7 linked regions of the Xenopus tropicalis genome follow. The main gene of each other region encodes a partner of the protein of the gene in region 4 in a complex. Links are inferred from orthologs where the notes say so. Each region holds a gene or a part of one and is shown on either strand. Other genes may lie near its edges.

The links.
Region 1: smarcb1 (region 4) and smarce1 share a complex: the UniProt entries of both Homo sapiens proteins name them as parts of the BAF complex. The link is inferred for Xenopus tropicalis from reciprocal best matches to the Homo sapiens genes SMARCB1 and SMARCE1.
Region 2: smarcb1 (region 4) and dpf3 share a complex: the UniProt entries of both Homo sapiens proteins name them as parts of the BAF complex. The link is inferred for Xenopus tropicalis from reciprocal best matches to the Homo sapiens genes SMARCB1 and DPF3.
Region 3: smarcb1 (region 4) and smarcd1 share a complex: the UniProt entries of both Homo sapiens proteins name them as parts of the BAF complex. The link is inferred for Xenopus tropicalis from reciprocal best matches to the Homo sapiens genes SMARCB1 and SMARCD1.
Region 5: smarcb1 (region 4) and dpf1 share a complex: the UniProt entries of both Homo sapiens proteins name them as parts of the neuron-specific chromatin remodeling complex. The link is inferred for Xenopus tropicalis from reciprocal best matches to the Homo sapiens genes SMARCB1 and DPF1.
Region 6: smarcb1 (region 4) and actb share a complex: the UniProt entries of both Homo sapiens proteins name them as parts of the BAF complex. The link is inferred for Xenopus tropicalis from reciprocal best matches to the Homo sapiens genes SMARCB1 and ACTB.
Region 7: smarcb1 (region 4) and smarcd2 share a complex: the UniProt entries of both Homo sapiens proteins name them as parts of the BAF complex. The link is inferred for Xenopus tropicalis from reciprocal best matches to the Homo sapiens genes SMARCB1 and SMARCD2.

What each region holds. Positions count from the first base shown.
Region 1 is NC_030686.2:8,354,895-8,358,394, reverse strand, and holds part of smarce1 (SWI/SNF-related matrix-associated actin-dependent regulator of chromatin subfamily E member 1), read right to left. Parts: intron 1,675-3,500; coding exon 1,502-1,674; intron 1-1,501. UniProt on the Homo sapiens protein: Involved in transcriptional activation and repression of select genes by chromatin remodeling (alteration of DNA-nucleosome topology).
Region 2 is NC_030684.2:106,457,046-106,460,545, reverse strand, and holds part of dpf3 (zinc finger protein DPF3), read right to left. Parts: intron 3,030-3,500; exon of another isoform or gene 2,577-3,029; intron 887-2,576; exon of another isoform or gene 885-886; coding exon 760-884; intron 1-759. UniProt on the Homo sapiens protein: Belongs to the neuron-specific chromatin remodeling complex (nBAF complex).
Region 3 is NC_030678.2:148,808,472-148,811,971, reverse strand, and holds part of smarcd1 (SWI/SNF-related matrix-associated actin-dependent regulator of chromatin subfamily D member 1), read right to left. Parts: intron 1,564-3,500; coding exon 1,447-1,563; intron 717-1,446; coding exon 615-716; intron 503-614; coding exon 341-502; intron 1-340. UniProt on the Homo sapiens protein: Involved in transcriptional activation and repression of select genes by chromatin remodeling (alteration of DNA-nucleosome topology).
Region 4 is NC_030677.2:153,157,578-153,161,077, forward strand, and holds part of smarcb1 (SWI/SNF-related matrix-associated actin-dependent regulator of chromatin subfamily B member 1), read right to left. Parts: intron 948-3,500; coding exon 820-947; intron 1-819.
Region 5 is NC_030684.2:77,399,072-77,403,057, reverse strand, and holds the start of dpf1 (zinc finger protein neuro-d4), read right to left. Parts: upstream 2,801-3,986; coding exon 2,769-2,800; intron 1-2,768. UniProt on the Homo sapiens protein: May have an important role in developing neurons by participating in regulation of cell survival, possibly as a neurospecific transcription factor. Belongs to the neuron-specific chromatin remodeling complex (nBAF complex).
Region 6 is NC_030685.2:46,572,744-46,576,800, reverse strand, and holds the start of actb (actin, cytoplasmic 1), read left to right. Parts: upstream 1-1,257; 5' UTR 1,258-1,283; intron 1,284-2,318; 5' UTR 2,319-2,324; coding exon 2,325-2,447; intron 2,448-3,436; coding exon 3,437-3,676; intron 3,677-4,051; coding exon 4,052-4,057. UniProt on the Homo sapiens protein: Actin is a highly conserved protein that polymerizes to produce filaments that form cross-linked networks in the cytoplasm of cells.
Region 7 is NC_030686.2:15,739,913-15,743,964, forward strand, and holds the start of smarcd2 (SWI/SNF-related matrix-associated actin-dependent regulator of chromatin subfamily D member 2), read right to left. Parts: upstream 2,801-4,052; 5' UTR 2,769-2,800; intron 1,930-2,768; 5' UTR 1,883-1,929; coding exon 1,781-1,882; intron 1-1,780. UniProt on the Homo sapiens protein: Involved in transcriptional activation and repression of select genes by chromatin remodeling (alteration of DNA-nucleosome topology).

The sequences.
Region 1 (3,500 bases), on a different chromosome or scaffold from region 4:
TTTCTAAATGTATATTTATTTATTTATCAAGATATTTCTGAAATTAATAAGGATATACTAAAAACCTAGTTTTATTGGAGTCTTTGTTTTGTCCAGATGTTTGCAATTGCTGCGGCAGTTTATTTGCCCTCTGACAAAGGGACACACGGGCTGGTAACTGGGACTGTGGAAACAAACTCACAGGAGTGTTCTCATCTTGAAATGAGTTGCTTATTTTGGAGCAATGGGCTTTGGGTTAATTATGTGCACGCAGACTACACCCAAGGGAGCGGCTCGCTTCTGCCCTGTTTCTAGTTGTGACACAGAGTGGAGAGACAGGTTTACTAATAAAAGAAAGGGCATGCCTAATGTAACACCTGGAATTAGAGCCCTTCTACACCCAAAGGTTCTAAAGTAGGGGCCCCCCATCTGCTCAGCAGTACTGAAAGTAGGGGCACCCCATCTGCTCAGCAGTACTGAAAGTAGGGGCACCCCATCTGCTCAGCAGTACTGAAAGTAGGGGGCCCCCATCTGCTCAGCAGTACTGAAAGTAGGGGGCCCCCATCTGCTCAGCAGTACTGAAAGTAGGGGCCCCCATCTGCTCAGCAGTACTGAAAGTAGGGGGCCCCATCTGTTCGGCAGTACTGAAAGTAGGGGGCCCCATCTGTTCAGCAGTACTGAAAGTAGGGGGCCCCATCTGCTCAGCAGTACTGAAAGTAGGGGGCCCCATCTGTTCAGCAGTACTGAAAGTAGGGGCCCCCATCTGTTCAGCAGTACTGAAAGTAGGGGGCCCCATCTGTTCAGCAGTACTGAAAGTAGGGGGCCCCCATCTGTCAGCAGTACTGAAGTAGGGGCCCCCTCTGTTAGCAGTACTGAAAGTAGGGCCCCCAGCAGTATGAAAGTAGGGGGCATCTGTCCAGCAGTACTGAGGGGGGCCCCATCTGTTCAGCAGTACTGAAGTAGGGGCCCCATCTGTTCAGCAGTACTGAAAGTAGTACTGAAAGTAGGGGGCCCATCTGTTCAGCAGTGAAAGTAGGGGGCCCATCTGTACTGAAAGTAGGGGGCCCCATCATACTGAAAGTAGGGGGCCCTGTCTGTCAGCAGTATGAAAGTAGGGGCCCATGTTCAGCAGTACTGAAAGTAGGGGCCCCATCTGGCAGTACTGTAGGGGCCCCAGCAGCCAGCTGAAAGTACAAAGTAGGGCCCATCTGTTCAGCAGTACCCATCTGTTCAGCAGTACTGAAAGTAGGGGGCCCCATCTGTTCAGCAGTACTGAAAGTAGGGGGCCCCATCTGTTCAGCAGTACTGAAAGTAGGGGCCCCCCATCTGTTCAGCAGTACTGAAAGTAGGGGCCCCCCCATCTGTTCAGCAGTACTGACAGTGGGGGGCCCCACCTGTTCAGCACTAAATGCATTCACCTTCATTTAGCACCAAAGGCACGTAATGCAAAACTGCTTCCCCTGATATTAAAGGCCAAATCAAACAAACTGCAGTGAAACCAATAGAAATGTAATTTCCTTACCTGGTGCACCATGAGAGACTGAACTTGTCTTTTCAGAACCTGCATTCGAGCGGTCGTGACCACGGAGCGGACGTCGGGCACCACGCTCTCGCTGAGAATTTCACTGATGAGCCGGTGGTTCCTCTGGAAACGGGCAGCGGCGCTGTGCTTCATGGAGAAACCATCGTCATAATCTGGGGGGGACAGTAAGGGAGAAGTTCAGGGTCTGAAGCTGCAGGGGAATGTTAGTGAGAAATGGTTCAGCCCAAAAGGCTATGGGTCCAAAGCTCCCAGCTCAGTTAGCCGTCACTAGGGTAGTGCTTACCCTAGCAACTACAGTGGTTTGAAAGACAGATGGAAAGATTCTCATTAAAAGGCAGCGCTCACCCTAAAAACCAGAGAGAGAGATGTGCTCTGATAAATACACATCAAAGTGTTTGGTCTGTAATGATTGGGGGCATATATATGACCCCGGCCCCTCCCTAGTTCCTCCATAGCTGGTACAAACAAAATACATTCTATCATCTGGAAACCCATTGTTCAGGAAGCTCTGAATTACAGAAAGGCTCCACTATAATCAAATAATTCTAATTTTTTTTTAAATGATTTCCAATAAAACAGTACCTGTACTTGATCCCAACTAAGATATAATTACCCCTTATTGGGGGCAGAACAGCCCTATTGGGTTTATTTCATGGTTAAATGATTCCCTTTTCTCTGTAATAATAAAACAGTACCTGTACTTGATCCCAACTAAGATATAATTACCCCTTATTGGGGGCAGAACAGCCCTATTGGGTTTATTTAATGGTTAAATGATTCCATTTTCTCTGTAATAATAAAACAGTACCTGTACTTGATCCCAACTAAGATATAATTACCCCTTATTGGGGGCAGAACAGCCCTATTGGGTTTATTTAATGGTTAAATGATTCCCTTTTCTCTGTAATAATAAAACAGTACCTGTACTTGATCCCAACTAAGATATAATTACCCCTTATTGGGGGCAGAACAGCCCTATTGGGTTTATTTCATGGTTAAATGATTCCCTTTTCTCTGTAATAATAAAACAGTACCTGTACTTGATCCCAACTAAGATATAATTACCCCTTATTGGGGGCAGAACAGCCCTATTGGGGTTTATTTCATGGTTAAATGATTCCCTTTTCTCTGTAATAATAAAACAGTACCTGTACTTGATCCCAACTAAGATATAATTACCCCTTATTGGGGCAGAACAGCCCTATTGGGTTTATTTCATGGTTAAATGATTCCCTTTTCTCTGTAATAATAAAACAGTACCTGTACTTGATCCCAACTAAGATATAATTACCCCTTATTGGGGCAGAACAGCCCTATTGGGTTTATTTCATGGTTAAATGATTCCCTTTTCTCTGTAATAATAAAACAGTACCTGTACTTGATCCCAACTAAGATATAATTACCCCTTATTGGGGGCAGAACAGCCCTATTTAGATTTCTATTCAATATATAAAGGGTAAATAAAACGAAGGCAGTGAGGAACATTGCTAGGTTCCATACTGAGCCGGATCACGTTGCTGACACGGAGTTATAGTCAGACAAACAAGGACTATTAAGGACGCTGCAATTAAAGTGTTTGGTAACACGCAGGAACACGCTCTGCTTGAATAAAGATAACGCCTAGAAATTATACCTGTGTAATCACAACATTCCCGAGTCAAAATGTGCCAGCTGTTAGATTTACTCAGGGCGAGTGCCCGGCATTCTACTGGCGACAAAAATATGCGCTGCAACTCCCAGCTACTGACTCATGTGCCCCTCTGACAACTGAGGCTATTGGGGACTGCTTAGAGCTCTAACTGACAGGACTTTAACCCCCATATGTAATAAAAAGCACTAAGTTTGCCCAGAAGCAGTAACCCATAGCAACCAATAAGATGCTTGCTTTTAAACAGGTGACCCACAAATTCTACCTATTCTTAGATTGAGATTTATCTCTCCTTTATAATACAGACATTGGAGCGGTTATCCAGAAAGT
Region 2 (3,500 bases), on a different chromosome or scaffold from region 4:
ACATATGTGGTGTGTTTATGGTGGTAGACAAGGCGACTAATATTGGTAAAAGCTTTGGATATTGGTCGCCTCGTCAATTAGGCAGGATGGAAATTTATTGTCGGGCACCTTTGAAGGCGGCCAAACATGGGTGCGGGAAAGATTGAAATTGTAAGGTGCATGGCCAGCTTTAGTTTCCAGAGGAAATCATTGCCCCAATCACCTAAATAGGTGTATTTCATTTTTCCAGTGACCCCAATGTAAGCTGTGTTTATTTGGTGAAAAGCTCTAACAGGTCATGTAATAAAAGGTGCAAAGTTTGCAACAGGTCTTGTCACCTATGGCAAGTAATCAGCAGGTAGCATTTACAGGTCACCTGTTGAAAACCAAACATCTTATTGATTGCTCTGGGTTACAGCACTACAGCATTGGACTAGGGTGTGGGGGGCCTTCTGTGGTTGCCACCCCAGGGGTCCCCGCCGACTGACCACCCAAACCCCCTGAGCGCACAAACTTTATACTTTCCCGCAATAGGGGGAGGGAGGTCAGTGGAGGAGTGCCAATGCTTTGGATCAGGTATGGGCCAGTGGGGCCCACCAGGTTTTTTCCTGGCCCAGTCCAACCCTGCAGCACCAAGACAAACTTTGTGACTCTTATTACATATGGGAGCTGCTGCCTGTTAAGCACTGCATACATGCTACTCACTCAAATAGAGTCAGTGGTAATGGTTTAACTGACTGTTGTCATGTTCCTTCATGTGGCATGTGTGTGCTAATGTACCTGAATCTCTTGTAGACTTTCTTCATCTCGAACATCTTTCTTCTCAATTCCTTCACCTCGTAGCAAGGCTTCCAGTGTCGTTCCTTCTGCCAGAACATTGTCCTTCCTCAGAGGAAAGTCAACATCTGTAATTAAATACAATAATTATATTGCTTGCTTTCTGTATCAATATTAATATGGTAACAACTAAAATCTCTAGCTCATTTGGCCGGGATTAATATCATCTTGATTGTTTATAACACATCTGAATAGATTCATGATCACTTTGCTTAGAGAGAATGCAATACATTTTAATCTACACTTCTCTAACTTTTCTGATTAAAAGGGCAAAAATTTTAGGTCCGTATACGTTTTCACTGACATTCCGATGCTAGCAATCTAAAAAAAAAAAAAAAAGTGGAGAATTAGCTATAAGGATGATTTTTGGAAGCACACAGCCGTTGTAATAACATAACACAAAATTTTGAATTAATGTGCCATAGGCATGCTAAAGTGTGTATAATTCTGCCCCTAAGTGACTCTTCCTTTTTTTCTACTCCTCATTTTTGTTAATGCATCTAGTGCAATTCATACAGGGTAGTGTACCAGGTAGAAAAGGAATCTGTACTTATTCCAGATACATTACACCCACTGACACTCCTTGCACTTGTATAAGTACAAGTAAGGAGCCTGCAAAGTGACACACAAGCCCCCCCCCCCCCTCCAAACTGCCAATCACAGACAAGGGCACATCTTTGTACCTTCAGAATGGGGTTTAATGATTTGCACCTTACACCAGCAGGGGCAATTTAAAGACCATGCCAGGAATGTAGGTGAATAATAGGCAAAAAATTTAACACTTTTTGTAAATTAGCTTTTTGTATTTTAGTTTTTATAGCCTATCCTGCTGTCATTAGTGCTTAAGTGAGTTGTATTGAGTGTGATGACCGCCCCATCTGTGTGTACCTCCATGTTGGCAGAAATAGAATGGCATAGACTCATGGCACATGGTGGCTTAGATACAAAGGAAAGAGTTTTGAATTACTTGTCAAAATCAGTCATAGGATGCAATAAGGGTGATATTTACAAAATATTGCTCCATTCTTTTATCAGATACAATCTAAAATATCTTATTTTTGAAGATCTGTAGCTTAAAATGTCAGTGGTGGAAAATCACAATTACTTACGCCCAACAAAGAATAATATGAAGGGGTACACTTTAACACAATGGTTCCTATAACCCTCTGCAACGCGGCCTCATTAAATACAGCACAGGTTGCCATGAAATACACAGTCTCACAAAGATTGCCGTTTTGGTAAGGCTAATGTTTGGAACATTTCAAAACCTTTATTACCTATGATCTGATTAGTTACCCTTTACCCATTTCCTTATATATGCACAGCTTTAAGTAGGCTGAGGCCTTCAACTGGTAAAAAACAGGTTCTGTATTTCATTTTAAACTCAGCCATAAACACCACTAAATAGATTTAAGAGAAGTGTCGGAAATCCAGGATAATATCACACATCTACCTTGGCCTTTACGACTGCTTTATGAAACATATTTCATTCATAGAAGGTTCTGCATGTTCAGAGTCTTAATTTTTTAAGTAATTTTCTAAGTAAGTTCTAGAAACAGTTTATAATGTGAATATCTACAGTTAGTATTAGTGGTTGTATTTATAGTTTATGTATGTGAGTGTATAGATTGGTAGGTGTGGGTTGGGTGTGCTGGGTTTACTTGGATGGGTTGAACTTGATGGACACTGGTCTTTTTTCAACCCTATGTAACTATGTAACTATAGTCAAAGGAGGATAAAAAAAATCTTCTTTTCCTTAGGAGGAACATGCAGATTATACCGTCAGAGGCAAAAGCACCATTTATAGTATTCACAATACTTCACCGCACTTGCAGGGTTCCTGCTGAGTGGCAGGTAAAATCACTTTTTTTTTTTTTTTTTGTATTTCAACACATCTTTATTGAATAGCACACAATGTGGTTACAGCATTATTGTCATAATGATTAAAGCATATGTTTACAATCAAATGTTCTCAGTTATAAACAGTAAGTGAAAATCACTTTTTTTTATTGACAATGAATGTAAATGTATTTGTGTAGGACATTGGCCTATTCCATCTGCACACACCAACTAGTGGATATTTTCATTCAAAACTTATAATCCTCAAAACAGGCTCCCGGATAAATGTAGCACCAAATCAAAGTGTGTAAATGAAATGACATTTTATCTGTATTTGCATTAAGCTAATGTCAGACATGGTGGTTTCACTGCCAGCAGAGAAATGCACCCAAGCCCCTTAATGGAAAGCCAGCTACATCTTCTGTGCTCAGTGGTTTTTGGCCAGAACACTTGTTGGTGGAAATAGGATGGTGGAGGGACCACCATGTGCGACATTAGCTGTAAGCTTATTATCTAAATAAAAGGTATATGTGCTACATAGCGAGAGGTGTGTATGGTGTTGGATACTATCTCTGTCTTGCCATTTAACAAAATCTTATCAAAAAGGTAAATATAGTAGGAACAAAACAGTTGATGTGCCAACATTCCTTAAACATACAGAGAATGATTAGAGAATTATATACATTAGGCTCTTTGAACTGAACTTTGGAGGTAGACACCAAGGGGCACATTTACTAAGATGCATTTTTTCTGGCCTTGGAAGGTGATTTGGTATAAATTTGAAGTAACCACAATAATTTCTGTAGTTGTAAATGTCTTGACAATGCTTTTATTGTTCGTACGAA
Region 3 (3,500 bases), on a different chromosome or scaffold from region 4:
ACCACATGCCAAACATACACTAAAGAACTGGAGAACTTTTCCTAGTATTGCAGTATTTGCATAATTAACAACTGTGAGTGTATAGATAGGTCAGTATAGGTTGTGTGTGCTGGGTTTAATTGGAAGGGTTGAACTTGATGGACTCTGGTCTTTTTTCAATACAATGGAACTATGTATGCTGTATGTGGAGAACATAATGGGAACAACAGAAACACTTAAACAAGTAGGGCACAAACTTACAGTTACAATCAGATATTAGGCTTTTCGAGCGTAAACGGTTTAAAGCAGGGCTTTGTTTACTTTTTGTATTAGTGGTATTTCATTGGAAATAGGCACTTACCTGCTGCAGATACTTGTCACATATAATAAACTCCCGTTCATGAGGGTCTTGAAGTTTGTGAGTCTTAATGTACTGCCAAAGAGCTTGAATGATGACTGGACGAGTCTGAGTGTGAATCCCAAGGAGGCGAGCCAGTCGGGGATCAAGTTTAAATTGTGGTGGCTACAGTTAAAAAACACACACAGAACTCAAACACACAGTCTGTGATAGGAATTTGTCTTTCATCGCTGCATTCACAGAAATATTCTTCAAATAGTACACACAAAGAACACACCTGATAGTCAAGCATCAGTAACACGGTGCAGCGCACGTTCATATCCCCAGGGCGCTTCACCTGAAAACCATCAGTCTCCTGTGTTGTAGGAGTTCTGTGCCACTAAGAATGAAAATATTACAGTAACTTAGTGTAACTCTATACAAACAAATAATGTAAAGACTGTCAAAATCAATATATTGGTAGTTTACAATGTTTAAAATGTCACAAAATGCAAAGAAAAATTGACTGATTTCCTATTCATTTCAATGCTCACTCATATTTTTGATCTGTAAAAGAAAAGCTCTATAAGGCCAATATCAAAGGCTATTTTGGCTGCTGATGACACCACCAAGGACGAAAACCGCTGCATACAAAAAAACAAAAATCCCTATCCACCTGTCCATAGTTCCCAAGGTAACAGATAGGAAACAAGCCATGCATGCACTTTACTGAGTGGAGGTACACCTTCCAGCAGTATGTGTGATTCAGGCACTGCCTTTCTCTTCGATTGCTGAAAGCAGTGGGGGAGAAAAACCCCTGTGACTGGTCAGTGGAGCATGTGCTGGTTTGCACAGGGGCAATCCAAAACAAGAACTTTAAAGTTTAGATAACCCAAAGGCTGTACTTCCTTTGCCTTTCTTTAATTAAAATGGTCAAAAAAAAAGCTAGACTAAATGAAAATATTTTATAGCAATGATGGAGTTTTTACCAAAAGCTTCTCCTTAAAATGGCAACACTCCTTGTATTGATCACAATCAATGGTTATCAAACATACTGTGTCTTATTCAATGGTAAAGCAGCCTTGTTTGCTAAATATTTTGCTGGCTTTCAGCAAGTTCACAGTGCTCACCTCCACCAGGTGGTTATCCGGCCCATACAGGTCTTTATCCAGCTCAATAACTAGTGACTTAAAAAAAGATGAGAACTTTCTCTTCTGTTTGGTAGCATCATATTTAGAAAGTGCCGCCTGCAAAAAAAAAACAAACACCCCTTAAAAAGTACTCATTCTGTAAATATACTATACAGCAACCTGCAGTGTAAGGGTCCCCATACACGGGTCGATTATAGCTGCCGATATTGGATCCTTGGACCGATTCGGCAGCTTATTGGCCCGTGTAGGGGCAGAACCGAGGGGCCTGGCCGACCGATATCTGGCCTGAAATTGGCCAGATATCGATCGGCCAGGTTAGAAAATCCAGTCGGATCGGGGACCAAATCGGCTCGTTGATGCGGTCCCCAAACCGACTGCCCCATTGGGCCAAACTGCCCCAGGGCCGAACGATCGAATTCACCTACATGCCTCCCCGATATCGCCACCTGTAGGTGGGGATATCGGGTGAAGATCCGCTCGCTTGCCGACATCGCCAGGCAAGCGGATCTGCCCATGTAGGCCAGCTTTAGAGAGAGATAACACACAGCAACAAATCAGCCACTAGCATTTACTGGCTGTCAGTTTGAAACAGACTGACTGGTTGCTATTGTCAAACTTAAGAATTACTATTACAATCCCGTGTAAGTGTATGAAGTCATAGAATAATCGTTTTCATCCACACAAGAACCTGTTATTTAAAAGGCCAGTAACATTAAAATAATGAAATTACCATAGCATTATTTCTCCCGATACATAGACCTGGTTTATTTCAGCACATTTGTTTTGAGCTCTGCTTTGTTTAGACATCTTTTATCTGTTCTCTAAACAAAGCACTGCCAGGTCAATTGTATTGAATGGAAACTTAGATAATAAATACTTATGAGCTGCCCCAAAAGCCCTACCAGAACAAGTACAGGTATTATGAAACACACATATATCATGGTTTCTAGAAATGGAGACACAATTACTGAGCACAAACTAAGTGAATACTGTATATAAATGCTTTTAGGGCCTTTCTAGTGTTAATGACCTTAATACCTTTTTAACATACCAGTGGGTCATTCTATCAATTTAAAAAGAAAAAAAAACGCACAATTATTTTTGTCTATTTTAAAGCAATAGTGGATCATTGTGTGCAATGTATTGCCTCCATATTTACCCTCTGATCCTTCACAGCTGCGGTCTGGCTCAGGTAGCTTGTTATTCTGCATCCCCATGAATTTAAAGGGACAGAAAGATGTTCCACTTTAAACAGGGTGATAAGGTTGATATAGGCTTATTCCCATGCTGCTGTTAAAACTGCAATGTTTCACTATCCCTTTTATACCGCCTTAAAAAGTTAAGCTCAATTAACAATGACACTTCCCCACTAGTAAATCTTTCTGGTATTTAAACAAGCGCCTCATCCAGATCTACCAAATAAATAGTCACTTATAATTTAATATATATAATTAACTAAGAGCACTGCAAATATTGTATTTCTTATGCTTGTCCACTCAAACCAAGTTCCCCAACAGAGAACAGGTTTTGTTAGAAGCACCAATATGGTCAGAAAACAGCCGCTGTAGTTTAACAGTTCCCTGTCTCCAACTGCTTTAAATGGCCTTTCTGCATCTTATTATAACAGAAACAGATAGGCCCTTCTTCCTGAACTTCATTAAATGGCACAGAAAGGATCTGACAGCTTCTATTGGAAATATTTCATCTCAATACAGAATTTCATTAAATTAGCTTCGGCTCTTCTCCCTCCCGTCAGCTTATATTAAGCTGAGCCCACATCTTGCTGATAAAATTCAGCGCTAAAATGGAAAATGTCAGGGATGTCATTATCATTCATTTTAACGGCAGTTCCCCTTAAACCCCAGGATGAAATATCCAATAAGCATACCATTTTTTTTTTCTAGAGGTCTTGTCAATAAAACTTTTATCTTTCAGATTAATTACTTTAAAAGGAAATAATTACTTTGAAAAGAATAATAAGTATGGGTCTTATTAACCAGTTTTGAGGGATTCATAAAGCAGTCAGTAAAGAG
Region 4 (3,500 bases):
AGTGCCTCATTTGCCCCCATAAACAGTACCCCCCCATAGATAGTGCCCCCAATTGACCCCTTAGACCATGCCCTCAATTGCCCCATAGAAAGTGCCCCCCATACAGTGCCCCCCCATACACAGTGCCCCCCATACACAGTGCCCCCCCATACACAGAGCCCCCCAATTGCCCCCATAGAGAGTACCTCCAATAGAAAATTCCCCGCTCCTTATTCGGCTCCTCGTACGGCGGCGACAGGACCTTTTATAAGGTTGCGCCCGTGCGTACGTGTGACGTCACGCATACGCACGGGCGCAACCTTATAAAAGGAACTGTCGCTGCCGTACGAGGAGCCGAATAAGAATAAGGAGCCGCATGAAGAGACAAGCGCTCCGCTGCAGCCAGCGCGTCCCGCTGGCCTGGATTGTTTAATGAATGTTCTGCATTTCCGTAATGCGGGACATTCATTGAACAATCCGGGACAGCGGGACGCGCTGTAAAAACCGGGACTGTCGCGACCCCTGTGAAAGGGTCATTCGACCCCCAAAGGGGTCGCGACCCCCAGGTTGAGAACCGCTGACTTAGACTGTAAGCTCTATAGGGCAGGGCCTGCTTCCTACTGTGTCTCATACCACAAGGCATCTCTGTATTTATACTTATTTATTGTATTTATTATGACGCTTGTCCTCCGTGTGTAATTCTGTATACTGTAAGATTGTACAGCCCTGTGTATCCTTGTAGCACTTTATAAGTAAAGCTATACATACATACATACATGTTCCATGCACATTTATATAATCCTTCAAAAAGGATTTTTTTTAAAGAGCTTTATGCCATACCATTCATGTTCCACGTAAAGGCATCTCGAAGCTTCTGCCCATCAATTTCCATGTCTAATCGAATGGGAACCAGGACTTCTGACTGAGCAGCATTTTCATGAATGACTGCTGGATCATGGTCATCAAAGCTAAATATAAAAAGCTCATCATAACTAAAGGCCAAAGTATTAACTCATGTACACATCTATCCTGAAAGCAGTTCATCCAGTTCACAGTTTCAATCAAAAAGCTTAAGGGCCGTGACACACAGGGAGATTAATCGCACTGCGACAAATCTCCCCGAAAGGCCATTCCACTGGCTAGAATGTAAATCGCCAATGGGATGGCATACGCGGCGGCCCGATTTCCTCTCAAGGCAACTTCGGCAAATTGCGCCGCCGCGTCTGCCATCCCACTGCCGATTTACATTCTAGCCGGTGGGATGGCATTTCGGGGAGATTGGTCGCCCGTGACCAGGGAGATTTGTTGCGGAACGTCTAATCTCCCCGTGTGTCAGAGCCCTAAAGGAACAGTTCCTTGCCCTTTAAAATGCATAAACAAATGAAATTTTAACCTTTGTGACACAGACCACTATTAAAGGCTGTGTAAAAAATTAAGGTTGAATATATATATATATATATATATATATTGAAGAAAAGACCAGCAACACCGGATCTATTGTAAACAATCAATTATATATTGAAAAATACATGAACAGCCAACGTTACGTTTCGGTCCCCGTCGGGACCTTTCTCAAGGCAACCATGCTTTCCAACCATATGACCCATTTATACCCATAGTGACCAAACAAACAGGAAATGACATCAACCATAAAGTGACTATTGCAGTAAAGTGAGCAGTCAATGCTGCAAAGTGATCTGTGCAATAAATAGTAATTGTTGAAATATTAAGAATAAATACAGAACATGATGTTTAAAATATCATAAAACATTAATAAAGTGATATAGTGAAACAACCTGTCTCCTATTTAGTGTGATATATTACTTTACATCGCATAATGTGCAAATTATCTATGTGCATCATAAATTTTTCAAGGTGACCCCCCAATAATACATTATTGGTGTACCCTACTATATATCTCACAGTGTTATCAATACATAATTAAAACCATCATATCCATAAAATCAAATGTACATGAATACGCTACGCTAACTGATCCAGGAAAATTATTTTCCTGATAAATGGGGGCCCCCATTTATATTTAGAATCTCTCTAAAGCAATAATATTACCTAGTCACAAATTATATTATCTTATAGCAAGATGGAACAACCAAAAAAATCACAAAGTTAATGACCATATATACATATATGAGAATATATCAACTTGATCATAATAAACCAAATTTATACAGAAGTATTCACAAAAAACAGTTCAAGGACAGAGAGCTATTCAGACCCCTAGGAGCCACACAGTCCAATTCATACGTCCAAAACGCTTCCCTTTGTAACAAGATGCGGTCAATGTCCCCACCTCTTTGTGAGCCTGAAATACAGTCAATTGGCATACACTTGAATGATGATACTGGATGCCTAGCATGTAACCAATGTTGTGCCACTGGTTGTTTAGATATGTCCTGTTTGCCCTCCTTCTTCACAGGTTTAGGGTCCAAAGCGGCCCTAATAGTGGCCCGGTGCATATTTATCCTTTCTTTCAACTGCCTGCAGGTTTTCCCGCAGTATATTAGCCCACATGGGCATTTAATAATATACACCACATTGCGTGAAACGCACGTAAGCCTGTGTCTAATGGTGTAGGACTTACCAGTGTGTGGATGGTAGAAAGTGTCCCCCGTTATTAAAGTGTTACACATAACGCAATTACCGCACTTAAATACTCCCGTTCTGTTTATATGAGCCTGCGTAAAATACTTGCTTACCGGGTCCGCAGGGGACAAAAGTTCCTTTAGATTCTTATTCCTTTTGTATCCAAACCGGATCCGTTTGCGGTTAATTGCTGTCAGTTCTGCATCAGTTTTAACTATAGGCCAATGCTGTAATATAGATTTTTTAATCAGCGGGGTATGCACATCATAGGTGGTCATATAACATAAAACATCATCATCTGTATCATTATCGCAATCCAATTTATGTCTCAAGGTTGTCTCTCGATCTAATGTTTCAGCCCATGTCTTAGTGTTACCAATCAGTGTAGCAGGGTACCCCCTTTCTAGGAATCTTGTTGCCATGTCATCCAATGCCTTGCGCCTTTCCTCTTGCTTACTTGTTACCCTAACAACCCTCAACATCTGCGATTTGGGCAGTGAATCCAGAAGATGGCGTGGATGGCTGCTAGTGTAGTGCAATAGCGAATTCCTGTCCGTGGGTTTCTGAAATAACCTAGTGTGGAGCTGGTTGTCTATTAAATCTTTGCACACAGTTACGTCCAAAAAATCAATGCTGTGTTTATCCCTGTGTACCGTAAACCTTATACTTGAGGGTACAGTATTTAAATCTTGGACAAATGACAAAAGTTCCTCATCCGGTCCATACCAAAGAAAAAACAGATCGTCTATGTAGCGCCTAAAGTAACCACCATGTTTACGGAAAAGTGGGTGACTATAAATGTTTCGAGTCTCATACCAATGCATAAAAATGTTGGCATAAGTGGGCGCTACATTAGACCCCATTGCGGTCCCGGCCAGTTGAAGAAAATAATTCTCCTCAAATTTGAAGTAATTATT
Region 5 (3,986 bases), on a different chromosome or scaffold from region 4:
TTCCAAAATGTATCATTGCCTTGTTCAGATAGGATATTTTTCTAGTTATATCTTACAGTAGGTAAGTCTTCAGTTCTGCAGTGGTCATCATTAATATTCACAAAGCATGACATAATTATTTTATAGTACTGTATAACAATCTATTATGAAGAGGTATTTTCTTAGCAATACATGTGCATGTATACAGAAAATGTACATTTATGGATACATGGGAGCATATATGCTTATTATGCACACAGATACAATATATATGAATTCCCCACAGATATGAATATGTAACAGGCTGGGTTCACCCAGTCAGGCAGAACTGTCATGAGATGTCTGCACACATATAATTGGAGCTGAGACACAGACAGGACCCAGACAGCTTGGAAACTGGCAATGCTGGTTTCAATGGCAACTTTATAAGATCAGGAATGATAGCTTGAGTGGATAGGCAAGTGTGTACCAATATAACAGTCAAAATATAATGCACGTTCAATTATTTTCTGCCATAATACTGCCCCTTTACTACACCAGGCTGAGCACACAACAAATATATATAAGGAGCATTCATTATTAAAGTATATATATAGTACATATTAAATATATATTAAAGTATATATAGTACCTAAATATCAACAATATGACAGAAATGATGTTAGGACACATAAAGAAAAAACATATCAGGGTTGCTTGGGTGCACATGCAGATCTCTGTATATATATATATATATATATATATATATATATATATATATATATATATATACACACAGGGACTTACACTGCATAATTTGTGCTTTACTAAGTTCTAGTGTAGTGTAAAAGGGCCTATATTCAATTTATATTTCTATAAATTCATATAAGGTATTTACCATGGCCTTATTTATCTGCGCATCATTATGTTTATTTGTATAAGGCAGTAAAAGCTGCCTTAATGTTTCTCACCAATGCAACCAGTTACATATGAACCACAGAGTCCACTGAAACCATGTCCTCTGGTGGCCAAATTATCCTAAAAATGATTTAAACTCTAGCTTAAATTTACCAAGCAGTAACTTTTGGACACAGTGCCTCTAATAAATTAAATTTCCTTTGTTTTACTTACTAATATAAGTGATAAAACTTATTATTCTTTAAAAAATGATTAAAACAATGTCTCCTTAATATACAAATATACTAAAGAAATTAGAATTGTCAAATTAAAGCAGGTATACACGGATCTTATAATATATGTGAGTGTGGCATACAGCCTAATACAACAGCGCCATATATGTAAGTCCTTGTGAAAGCAAGATTAGTAACAGTAACTGTATTTTAATTTACCAAAAATTTAATTTACCAATAAGATAATCTGTAACATTAGATTTTCACTCAATAAAGGCTTTCTCCTTATCAAGTCTTCATGTCCAGTGCATTGCTTGAGAGAGAAGCCTTGCCAATTTGCTTACAAAGCTACAGTCACAATCTGCAAATATTTTTGATAAAAAGCATGCATATAATGCATTTTACAGAGAGCAGTCATACTATATTTTGCAGTGCATGTGTCAAATCAAATTAGGTTAAACTGATAACTGCACACAGTACCAGAAAGAACGAGAACTGCCTCTCACAGTTGTATTCAGTCAGAGCTGAATGAGTTAAAGTGAAATGTCCCCAGCTTAACCACTGGGAGAAATATAGGATTTTAGGTGACAGCAGTAACCCATATTTTACTCATATCTGACAAAATGCAGTTCTTCTATAATCTTCTGCAGCTTTAAATATGCTCATGGCTGCAAAACTACAAATAATTATTTAGTGTCAAACAGTATGCAGAGTGATGCAGTATCCATTATTTGCTTATTATTACAGTCTGATTACTTCAGGCACTGACTGGGTTAATGGCTACTTTATCACGTGCATACAGTCTGCCCAGATGTGCACTAGGAATTAAGGACAGAAGGTTCCCAGGCACTCAGCTCACTTGCTCTGCTTGCATGGTGCTATGTATGGCTTAAAACACATATTTAAGCATATTACATATTTTTGAATAAATATTATGCATAAAATGCATTAATAGTGTTAACATAAGTTACAGGGATTTTATTTTTAAGACAATACCCTAAATTTAGCTTTCAAAATTCATATTACTCAGGTGCAACCAAATACTATTAAAATCAGCAAAACACTGCTGTACATTTTATATGAAAATGCTGTAGAAAAGTGAACTATGGGTAATCACAAATAAATTCCCTTTCCCAAAGGAACGATAGGCAAAGACAGATGGATGAATAGGTAGCTAAATACATGGATAGATAATAGGCAAACGATCGCAGTCGCAGTCTAGACCTCAGACATACCCTAAGGATACAGTCTAATCCAGATGTAAGACCCTCCTCTAAAAGCAGCTGGATGTGACCTCACTGTGAAATTCTATAATGCATAGTATACGTGCAGAATAGATGGTTGATTCCACTTTTTGACATTTAATATATATATAGCACCCACAAGAGTTAATATATATAACAATCTACATGCAAATGTACAGAACAAACACACACACACACATATATCTATATATATATAGATATATATATAATCTCAAATAAATGTATTACATACACACACACACTATAATACACAAATTGGCAGGCAGACACACTCTTTCATGCATAGTATTCATGTAGATATGTCCATGTTGTAATAATGCTAAACACACATGTATACATCTGAAAGATATACAGTCTCAGACAGTGTAAATGCAGTATACACAGCTGTAACTATCTTTAAGTCCAGTATACTCACGATTTTAAGGGGTTGTGGAGGGCTGTGTTCATGGTGCAGCTGGGTATTAGGCAGGAACACTGCAGCCCCTCTAATATCACAATACTGTACAATTTCATTCATTCTGCACGCAATGGCCAATCAAAGGCCGTGTTGAGGGTAAGACTGGGAGTTGTAGTTTTGAGAGCCGCGCCAGTATGAATATGAATTGAAAATGGCACTACGTTGCCCAGAGTTCATTGCGAGGGACAAGTCTGGGAGGCTGAAGAAGAAAATGATTGGTGGAGAAGGTTAAGGTACTGTAAAGGGAGGAGGGGGAGCTGGGGGCAATGGGAAGGGGAGACTTTGTGTGTTGGATGGGGGGCGCGGGAAGGGATTGTCAAAAAGGGAGAGACAGGCAAGTTTATGAGTTAGGTGGGAGAGGCAGTCAGGTTGTGAGGAAAACTGAGATAAAAATAGGACGAGCCTAGTCATTGCTGGTGAGGCCCCATAAGGGCCTTTTGTTAACAAGCCAGCAGAAAAAAATGCAGCAAGTGGGTTGGGGGGAAGGGGGGGAGAAGGTGAGGGGAGAGCAGAATAATAGAGATCAGGCGGTGGAGAGAGAATTGGGAGGGGATGAATGGACTTAAAACTGATAAAGGAAAACACTGAAGTTGTTAATATCAGTTATATCCTAAATTTGTTTGATTGCAGGTCCAGTAATAAGATACAAGTACGCTGCAGGGAAGATTGGAGCCTTGAGGAAGATAGTGTGCCCACTGCAATTCAGGGACCTGCAGGAAAGAAAGGAGAACCAGTCACCATGGAAGGGTAAGGGAAAAGTGTGTCCTTCATCAGCAGGGCTCCCATAGTCCCCATTGCTGGCACAGATCATGCAGCAGGTCCCCATTTCCGTGGCCTTGCCAAACAGATATGGTGTGCGCTCCACTTTCTTGTAAACTCCACATAAAGTGAGTACTTTAGTACTATGTCAAGCACCTGTATTCAGCTGCTTCTTTTATATTCCTCATATAATAAGCCCCCCTTCACACTGCCACATTATAATTATTGTTATTCTTTGTATAGTGCTAACACATTCTTATGCGCCTGGCAAAGATTATATATCATTCACACCAGTCCCTTCCCAAGTGTAGCATAAAGCTCTAAGTACCTATAACAATTATGCCCTCTGTGGTCAATTTGAGTTCTAGGTACTGAATCTAGGACCCCAAAGTCAAAAGAGCTAACCATTGCGCCACT
Region 6 (4,057 bases), on a different chromosome or scaffold from region 4:
TAAAGGACAGTCTATAGACCACTACAGTTGTAGGACTTTTGGCTTCAGGGTAGGGGATAAATAGGACTCCCCTAGACCTGATGAAGAGGGCCTAAGACACCTGCCCCTTCAGGCCTCCTCGCTGGGGGGGCATTCATTCTTTCCATTTTAAAGGAGGGTCTAAATTTGCTGACCCTTGCATTCTTTTGTTTTTTTTTTGCACCTGGGTGAAAAAGCATGTTCTTCAGGCTTCAAAAAACATATGAGTGAGATTGGCAGGGAAGGTCATAGTCATAGTAAACTTAGACTTTGCTGATAAACTTGGTCTTTGCTGATATGAGGGTTGGTTACTTGGGGAGCTCACATTCCAGTTACTGCATGGGGCTCCAAATGTTTTACTTTAGATTAGTTTAGATTTTTTTTCCTTACATACGTTGCATTTTATTCTCAGGGGGACGGATGATCTTCGACAGTATCAGCTTAACCAATAAATACGTTTATGAGTACCAGAGGTCATTGTAGAGCTGTAAACTGTAAAGTTAAATAACAAATGGTTGACCTGCATAGGAAATGGAAGTATGGACAAAGAGCAGTATCGCTGACTCAGAGCAGGGAAGGCGATTTAAAAGTGTTTATATAAGGAAATATGTGCTATAATGATACTTTTCTTTCCCTTACAACACAGCCATACATGAAGAAATAACTAGGCACTATCACAATATGCTGGCGCTAGAGACAAGAAGTGCAATCGAGTCACTGTATTCATGGATTGTACGCAACACAATGCAGTGCGTCACTGTAACGTTACAAAGCTTACTGTCTCGGCAGGCTGCAGAAATCCTAACGAACTGCATTTGGTCCTGACATTTCTGCAGACATAAACGTGCAGACTATCTGCTTTGCAAAGCCATGTTTTAAGAGAGTAAATCATTTCAGGCCAATAAAGAATATAAAAAGAAAGAGTTCTGCACCGCGCCCTTTATTATACAGCAATTAATGGAAAGGATAAGGCGTGGTATATCTAAGTGTAGATTTAATGAAACATATATATGTATATTGATATCTATGTATGTACGTATCTGTGTATATACGTATCCGCATCCTAGCTAGTAGGTGTAACTGCCTCACTCTACGCGCCCCCTTCGCCCGCAGTTCCTACAGCCAATCAGCTTCCCAGTTCCTGGAACGCTCCTTATATGGTGCAGCCGGCTGGGGCGCGCAGCATAAAACCGGCGCCCTAGCCCGACAACTGCTCAGTGACCCGCCCGCACAGAAACAGGACAGTGTGTGTGTCGTACTCTCAGGCAAGTAGCGCCGAGCCTGCTATTGTTGTGCTTTTCCTCTGCTATTTCCTGCTTCTATTCGCCTATTTTTCTCTATATATTATTAGAATAAGCATGATTTGGTTCTAATTGGCTATGTTTTTCATAATGTGCTTGAAATAGTTGGTAGCTTAATGTAGCGTTATTTACTTGAAGGTAAGACTTGTTAGTAGACAAGCGTGAAGCCTGGTTCTGGAATTGTGCTAAAGTTCAGTTCCTTATATGCTTAATTAGATCTTAATTGATAAAGGACACTGGAAGTTGTAGGTTGTACATACTGGAGAGCTGGGGAACCATTTTTCTGTTACAGCAGGTTTAACTTGTAAGTTGCATTTAAAAATAGGGTTTTGTTTTTTTTTTGTATCGTTTCCTCTTCTGTAAACTGAGCCCCCAATAGCAGCGCCGCTTGGGGATGTGCGATTGGGCGGTTCCCTGCCGATGTTAGTGTGAGGCTGCACACAAAGCTACATATTGTGTATAAGTGTGTGATGCAATCTGTGTCGGAACAGCCTTTTGCTGTCTAAAATATATTGGCGGTAGTTCTCTCCCGCTTCGGTTTAGACTTTCCATATGCATGTATATCCGTAACTAGAATACAAAAGCGCAAGTTACATCTTATATATTTATTTTGTCCTTGCACTGGTAAAAACGGAGTCACACCTGCAGTATGTGATTCTGTCCTGTAGTGTTGCCTTCATGAAACATTGGGAGTGGTAGTCGGTTGGTTCGATTGCCTAATACCAGCAGTGACTTGTTTCTTTGCCACACCTTCACTATCCATGGCTGGATGGGAGGGGTGCTTGTGTAAATCTTTGCTGTTGCCTTATTTGGTAATACAGAAAATAAATCGATTTCCCTTTGTCTAAATCTGTACAGAAATGGTGCAAACCCCTGCGCCCTCTTGTGACAGACCTTATGAAATGCAAGTAATGGGCAGGAAGCGTCCTTGTGGTATATACCAGCGCTCATAATTTGGGTGGATAATTATCTCAATTTTATTTATTTTTTAAATTTCAGATTACAATGGACGACGATATTGCTGCACTGGTCGTTGACAATGGTTCTGGTATGTGCAAAGCCGGCTTTGCAGGTGATGATGCACCCCGTGCTGTTTTCCCATCCATTGTTGGTCGCCCAAGACATCAGGTATGCCCTTTTCATGCCTTTTTCATTTCATGTCTAAATAAAACCTAGAAATAAAACTAGTAAAGCACCTCTAACAAATCAGTGTGTTGTCCCAAGGAGGTAAAACATTTTTTTTTTTTTTTTATGTATTTAACTGTTAAAGGTGAAACTAATCTGGGGGCAAATAAAACTGCAATTCTGCATGGGTTATAGGTATGTTGGTAACAATATATTTGCCATTGAGTGTTTTTAAACCATACACGTAAGGATAGTTTCCAAAAAGTGTTGCATAAGATGATGCAATTTTTTTTATTTTTTTTTTTTTTTTTACTCTTTCAAATAAACACTGCAGGCAGGAATAATCACATAAATAGCTGTGCCTAGGGCACCCCCCAACTCTTGTGCCCTAGGCTTGTGTCGGTTATTCCTTTAAGCTGGTTTTGGGCACTTCTCGGCAAGGCTGAAACTAGGAGTAGGCATATTTAAAATAAACTCTTTATACTGTCCACACAAACCCTGTTTATTGACTTATGCTGTGTAAGTGCTAAAGCCAGTTACATTTTCCAACCCTGCATGAAAAGAATTTCTTTTCAGAGTGTAATGTGGTTTAATTTAAATGGAAAAATATTTTAATTAAGTGCAGGTTAAGTGTGTGTATATAGATATTTAATATGATATATATATTGTACTTTGCACACTACATTTCCATATTCTTTGCAAATTGCCTACTTCTGTTTATTTGTGAAATACACAGGGGCGTGGTTAACATAGCAAATGTTCTTGCATACTCTTGTTTCCTGTAAGCACAAGATGACAGGAAGTATTACGAAATTAGAGGGCCCTGCCCAAAAGAGCTTTTACTCTAGAATTTCCTCTTAAAGTCTGCATTATGTGAGGTCCATGAAAATCCACTTTATTCATTCCATTGTCTGGCTAGTATTGAATTAAGGCATGCTTTTCATTTACTAAATTACTTAATTTAGTCCAAATTGTCTTACGCTTTATTTTAGGGTGTCATGGTTGGAATGGGACAGAAAGATAGCTACGTAGGAGACGAAGCTCAAAGCAAAAGAGGTATTCTTACACTCAAATATCCTATTGAGCATGGCATTGTCACTAACTGGGATGATATGGAGAAGATCTGGCATCATACCTTCTACAATGAACTCAGAGTGGCCCCAGAGGAACACCCAGTGCTGCTGACAGAAGCACCCTTGAATCCCAAAGCTAACCGGGAGAAAATGACGCAGGTATGTTACCTGTTTTCTGGTGTGAGGGTTTGGGTTGTGGGTTTTGTTTTGTGTTTTTTGTTTTTTAATTATATAATTGCTATTCCTTACAGGGCTGTCCTGGCCTCAAAGTTTACTGGAATCTCAAAGGTTTTTTTTCAGTATTTGCCTGTTTTACATCAAGGGTAGAATACTAACAATGTTAGCGTTGTGTGAAAAGTGCTGAATGATGGCTTGTTTTTCAAAGTTCACTTTGCTTGTGTTTTTCCTCACATTGGCCCTGCCTAAATTTGTGTTGTGTGCAGCAAAATCAAATGCTGTTCTGAAACTACACATGCATGAGTTTTGGATGCCTTTATGCAGGTAATGTGCTAATTGCCTTTTCAACCATTACAGATCATG
Region 7 (4,052 bases), on a different chromosome or scaffold from region 4:
GTCCTCATTACCTCATATTAATAGGTCACTATGGATCTTTATCTTAAAATTAGATTAAAAGGGCTGAAATTAAATGAGACTGAGAAAACCTGACAATCATAAAGGCCATTCAATTTAAAATTAAAAGTAGAGGTCAGTAGAATGCCCCACATCTGCCAGTGGTGACCTGTACTACAATGCACCGCATCTACCAATTGTGAACTGTTCTAGAGTGCACCACATTTGGAAGTGCTGACATGTTCTAGAATGCCTCACATCTGCCAGTGCTGACCTGTTCTAGAATGCACCACATTTGGAAGTGCGGACATGTTCTAGAATGCCCCACATCTGCCAGTGCTGACCTGTTCTAGAATGCACCACATTTGGAAGTGCGGACATGTTCTAGAATGCCCCACACTACCAATGGTGAACTATACTAGAATGCACCACACTACCAATGGTGAACTATACTAGAATGCACCACACTACCAATGGTGAACTATACTAGAATGCACCACACTACCAATGGTGAACTATACTAGAATGCACCACATCTACCAATGGTGAACTGTACAAGAATGCACCACATCTACCAATGGTATCAGGTGCCAGTGATGAACTATACTTGCATGTACCTCACTGACAGAGAGTGAACTTAACTGTGTTGTACCACACTGACTGGTGTTGAACTAGACCTGAACATACCACATTCCTAGGCAGTGAACTCTACCAGAATAGACCATCCTAAAGTGATCTATACCAGCATGCACAACACTGAAAGGCAGTGAATGATACCAGTTCAACCATACTCCAAACAACCAGTGATGAACTATACCAAACTGTACCACACTGATCAACAGCAAACTCGGACCATGCCATTTGCTGGTGAACTATACCAATATGTATGAAAATGAAAAATTAAAAAGGAGTGAACGATACCAGAACACACCACAGTGACATGCAGTGAAAAGACAATTATAAAGTGAAGTAGATTTAAATCAACTGATCAGTTGTTTACCATGATATGCACCATTGTATAAAATGTAGGATTACTATTATTATATTATTCTTGGAATGGTTACACAAGCCATCCTAGATTATCTAGGCCCTGCTTAGCAACCATCAAGGCCTTATCTATACTCTCCTCCTGCCTACCTGGGACCATAATGATGTGCACTGATTGTCACATGAAGATGTTATGTCTCATTTTTCACAATTACACAAAGAATTTAGAAAGATACTGGATGAAAGTGAAACATCCACAGTCTTTATTTACACCAACGACTTTACCTTTGGATTGTACAACTGCGATGCAATTCAATAGGTCACCTGAGCTGTAACTGAACATGACTGCTTCAGATCACAATTGCATCCGAAAAATGCTCTAGAAATATTAGATCAAGGGCCTGGTGTGCTACACAAGTCACAAATCAGTCAGCTCAACATTTAGTCGCATTTAGTCTGATTTGGAAACCAGAAGTAGCAGCTTGCCAGTAGCACAGTCAATGTGCAATTCTATAGATGCAAGCGTTCTGTGCACTAGTGCCTGACTTTGGATGCAGCTATGGCATATAAAACACAATCATGCTTCAGGCGTAAATCATTTTCATGCCATTGGATTCTGCTAGTCACATGCTACAAACGGGCATGTGATAGTCAGGCACTATTAACAGACCCAGCAACTTGGACCTACTGACTCTGCCCAATTAAAACTGGATAAACAATGTTCTAAATTCTAAATGAAGTGATCTAGCACAGGGAAGATGGAAATGCACAATACATTGCTATTGGAAATGGTTACCTGGTAAGGCCCCATTGGGGGTCTGTATGCTCCAGGGTTTGGTCCCCGCATCATGTTCATTGGGCTCCCAGATGGTAGAGGTAATCCTCCCCGAGAGGTCATGGAGTGTTAAACAGCAGACAGCACTACTGTGCACAGGTGAAGGAATGCTGTGTATATACAAGAGGGATATACTCTGTGTGAACAACCTCCTTCCTAATGAATCATATAATGTAGAATTCCTAATTATGCAGCCCTGCACTGCGTGCGTTGGCTAGTTGCGCAGCCCTGCACTGCGTGCGTTGGCTAGTTGCGCAGCCCCGCACTGTGTGCGTTGGCTAGTTGCGCAGCCCCGCACTGCGTGCGTTGGCTAGTTGCGCAGCCCCGCACTGCGTGCGTTGGCTAGTTGCGCAGCCCCGCACTGCGTGCATTGGCTAGTTGCGCAGCCCCGCACTGCGTGCGTTGGCTAGTTGCGCAGCCCCGCAAAGTGTGCGTTGGCTAGTTGCACAGCCTTGAACTGCATGTGTTGGCTAGTTGTGCAGTCTTGGCTGTGTGTGTTGGCTACTTGTGCAGCCCCGCAAAGTGTGTGTTGGCTAGTTTGTTTGCACTTTGACTTTTAAACAATTTTAACGATATATCTTCAATAAATTTTTGATAAAACATTGAAGGGTGTGCTGGCCACAGATGATTATTTTCTGTATATACATAATTTTGGCTATGCACCCCGCAGAATATTGAGCCTTGGAGTGCGGACACCATTTGGATTGATATATATATATATATATATATATATATACACACACGCACATTTTATACATAAATTGTGTGTATATATTTATCCTCTACGTGTTGCCCTATTCAGTTATACAAGCTTATAGAGTTCGTGTTAGTATCAGTACTATGCCTATCAGACTGTAGCCCTGTGTGCCCGTAGCAGTAACACGCGTGTAAGCCCGGCGCTAAGTACAGCACAAAGCCGCTATCCTACAGCTAGTCCAGCACTACTAACCGGATTCCCCAGTGAAACCCAGCGGGGTTCAGCCTCTCTCCGTATAATTGTGCCCGTACAGCTGCTCTCAATGCGCAATCCCTGCGCTGCGATCCTCCGGCTGTAGTTTCCCGGGGCGCAAACCGAGCGCTCAGCACTTTCCCCTTCCTGCTGCTGTCGGGCGGCTCATAGGAAGTTATTGGAAGGTTTTTCTGTTGGTGTCATCACTTCCAGAGAGCTGTTTTGCAACAAACCTCCTTTTCTCATCTCTGCCCTCCCACTGCCTTCCCTCCCCTCCCCTCCTCCTGTGTCTCTCCTCCCTCTGTTTCTCTTCCCCTCCTCCCCTTGTCATCTGCCCTTTCTCTTTCGTCTTTGCCAGCCCTCCTCTACCTGTACCCACCCCCTCTTACCCGTGCTCACTCTCCTTGCCTGCCCTCTCTTACTTGTACCCACCCTCTCTTACCTGCACTCCCTCTCTCTGCCTGCCCTCTCTCACCTGTATCCACCCTCTCTTACCTGCACTAACTGTCTCTGCCTGCCCTCTCTCACCTGTATCCACCCTCTCTTACCTGCACTAACTGTCTCTGCCTGCCCTCTCTCACCTGTATCCACCCTCTCTTACCCGCACTCCCTCTCTCTGCCTGCCCTCTCTTACCTGTACCCACCCTCTCTTACCCGCACTCCCTCTCTCTGCCTGCCCTCTCTCACCTGCACTAACTGTCTCTGCCTGCCCTCTCTTACTTGTACCCACCCTCTCTCACCTGTACCCACCCTCTCTTACCCGCACTCCCTCTCTCTGCCTGCCCTCTCTCACCTGTATCCACCCTCTCTTACTGTCTCTGCCTGCCCTCTCTCACCTGTACCCACCCTCTCTTAGCCACACTCATTCTCTCTGCCTGCCCTCTCTTACTGTCTCTGCCTGCCCTCTCTCACCTTTACCCACCCTCTCTTAGCCACACTCTCTCTGCCTGTCCTCTCTCACCTGTACCCACCCTCTCTTACCTGCACTAACTCTACCTGCCCTCTCTTACCTGCACTCACTCTCTCTACCTGCCCTCTCTTACCTGCACTCACTCTCTCTACCTGCCCTCTCTTACCTGCACTCACTCTCTCTGCCTGCCCTCCCTTACCTGTACTCACCCTCGCTGCCTTCCTGTCCTACCTGTGCCACCTTCTCTGTCAGCACTACTCTACTTGTGCCCACTCTGCCTTTTCCTACCAGTTCCACTCCCTTTGCCCTTCCCCTCTGTACCTGTGCCACCCCTGCCCTTTTCTATATGTGCACACCCTGCTACCCCAACCCTA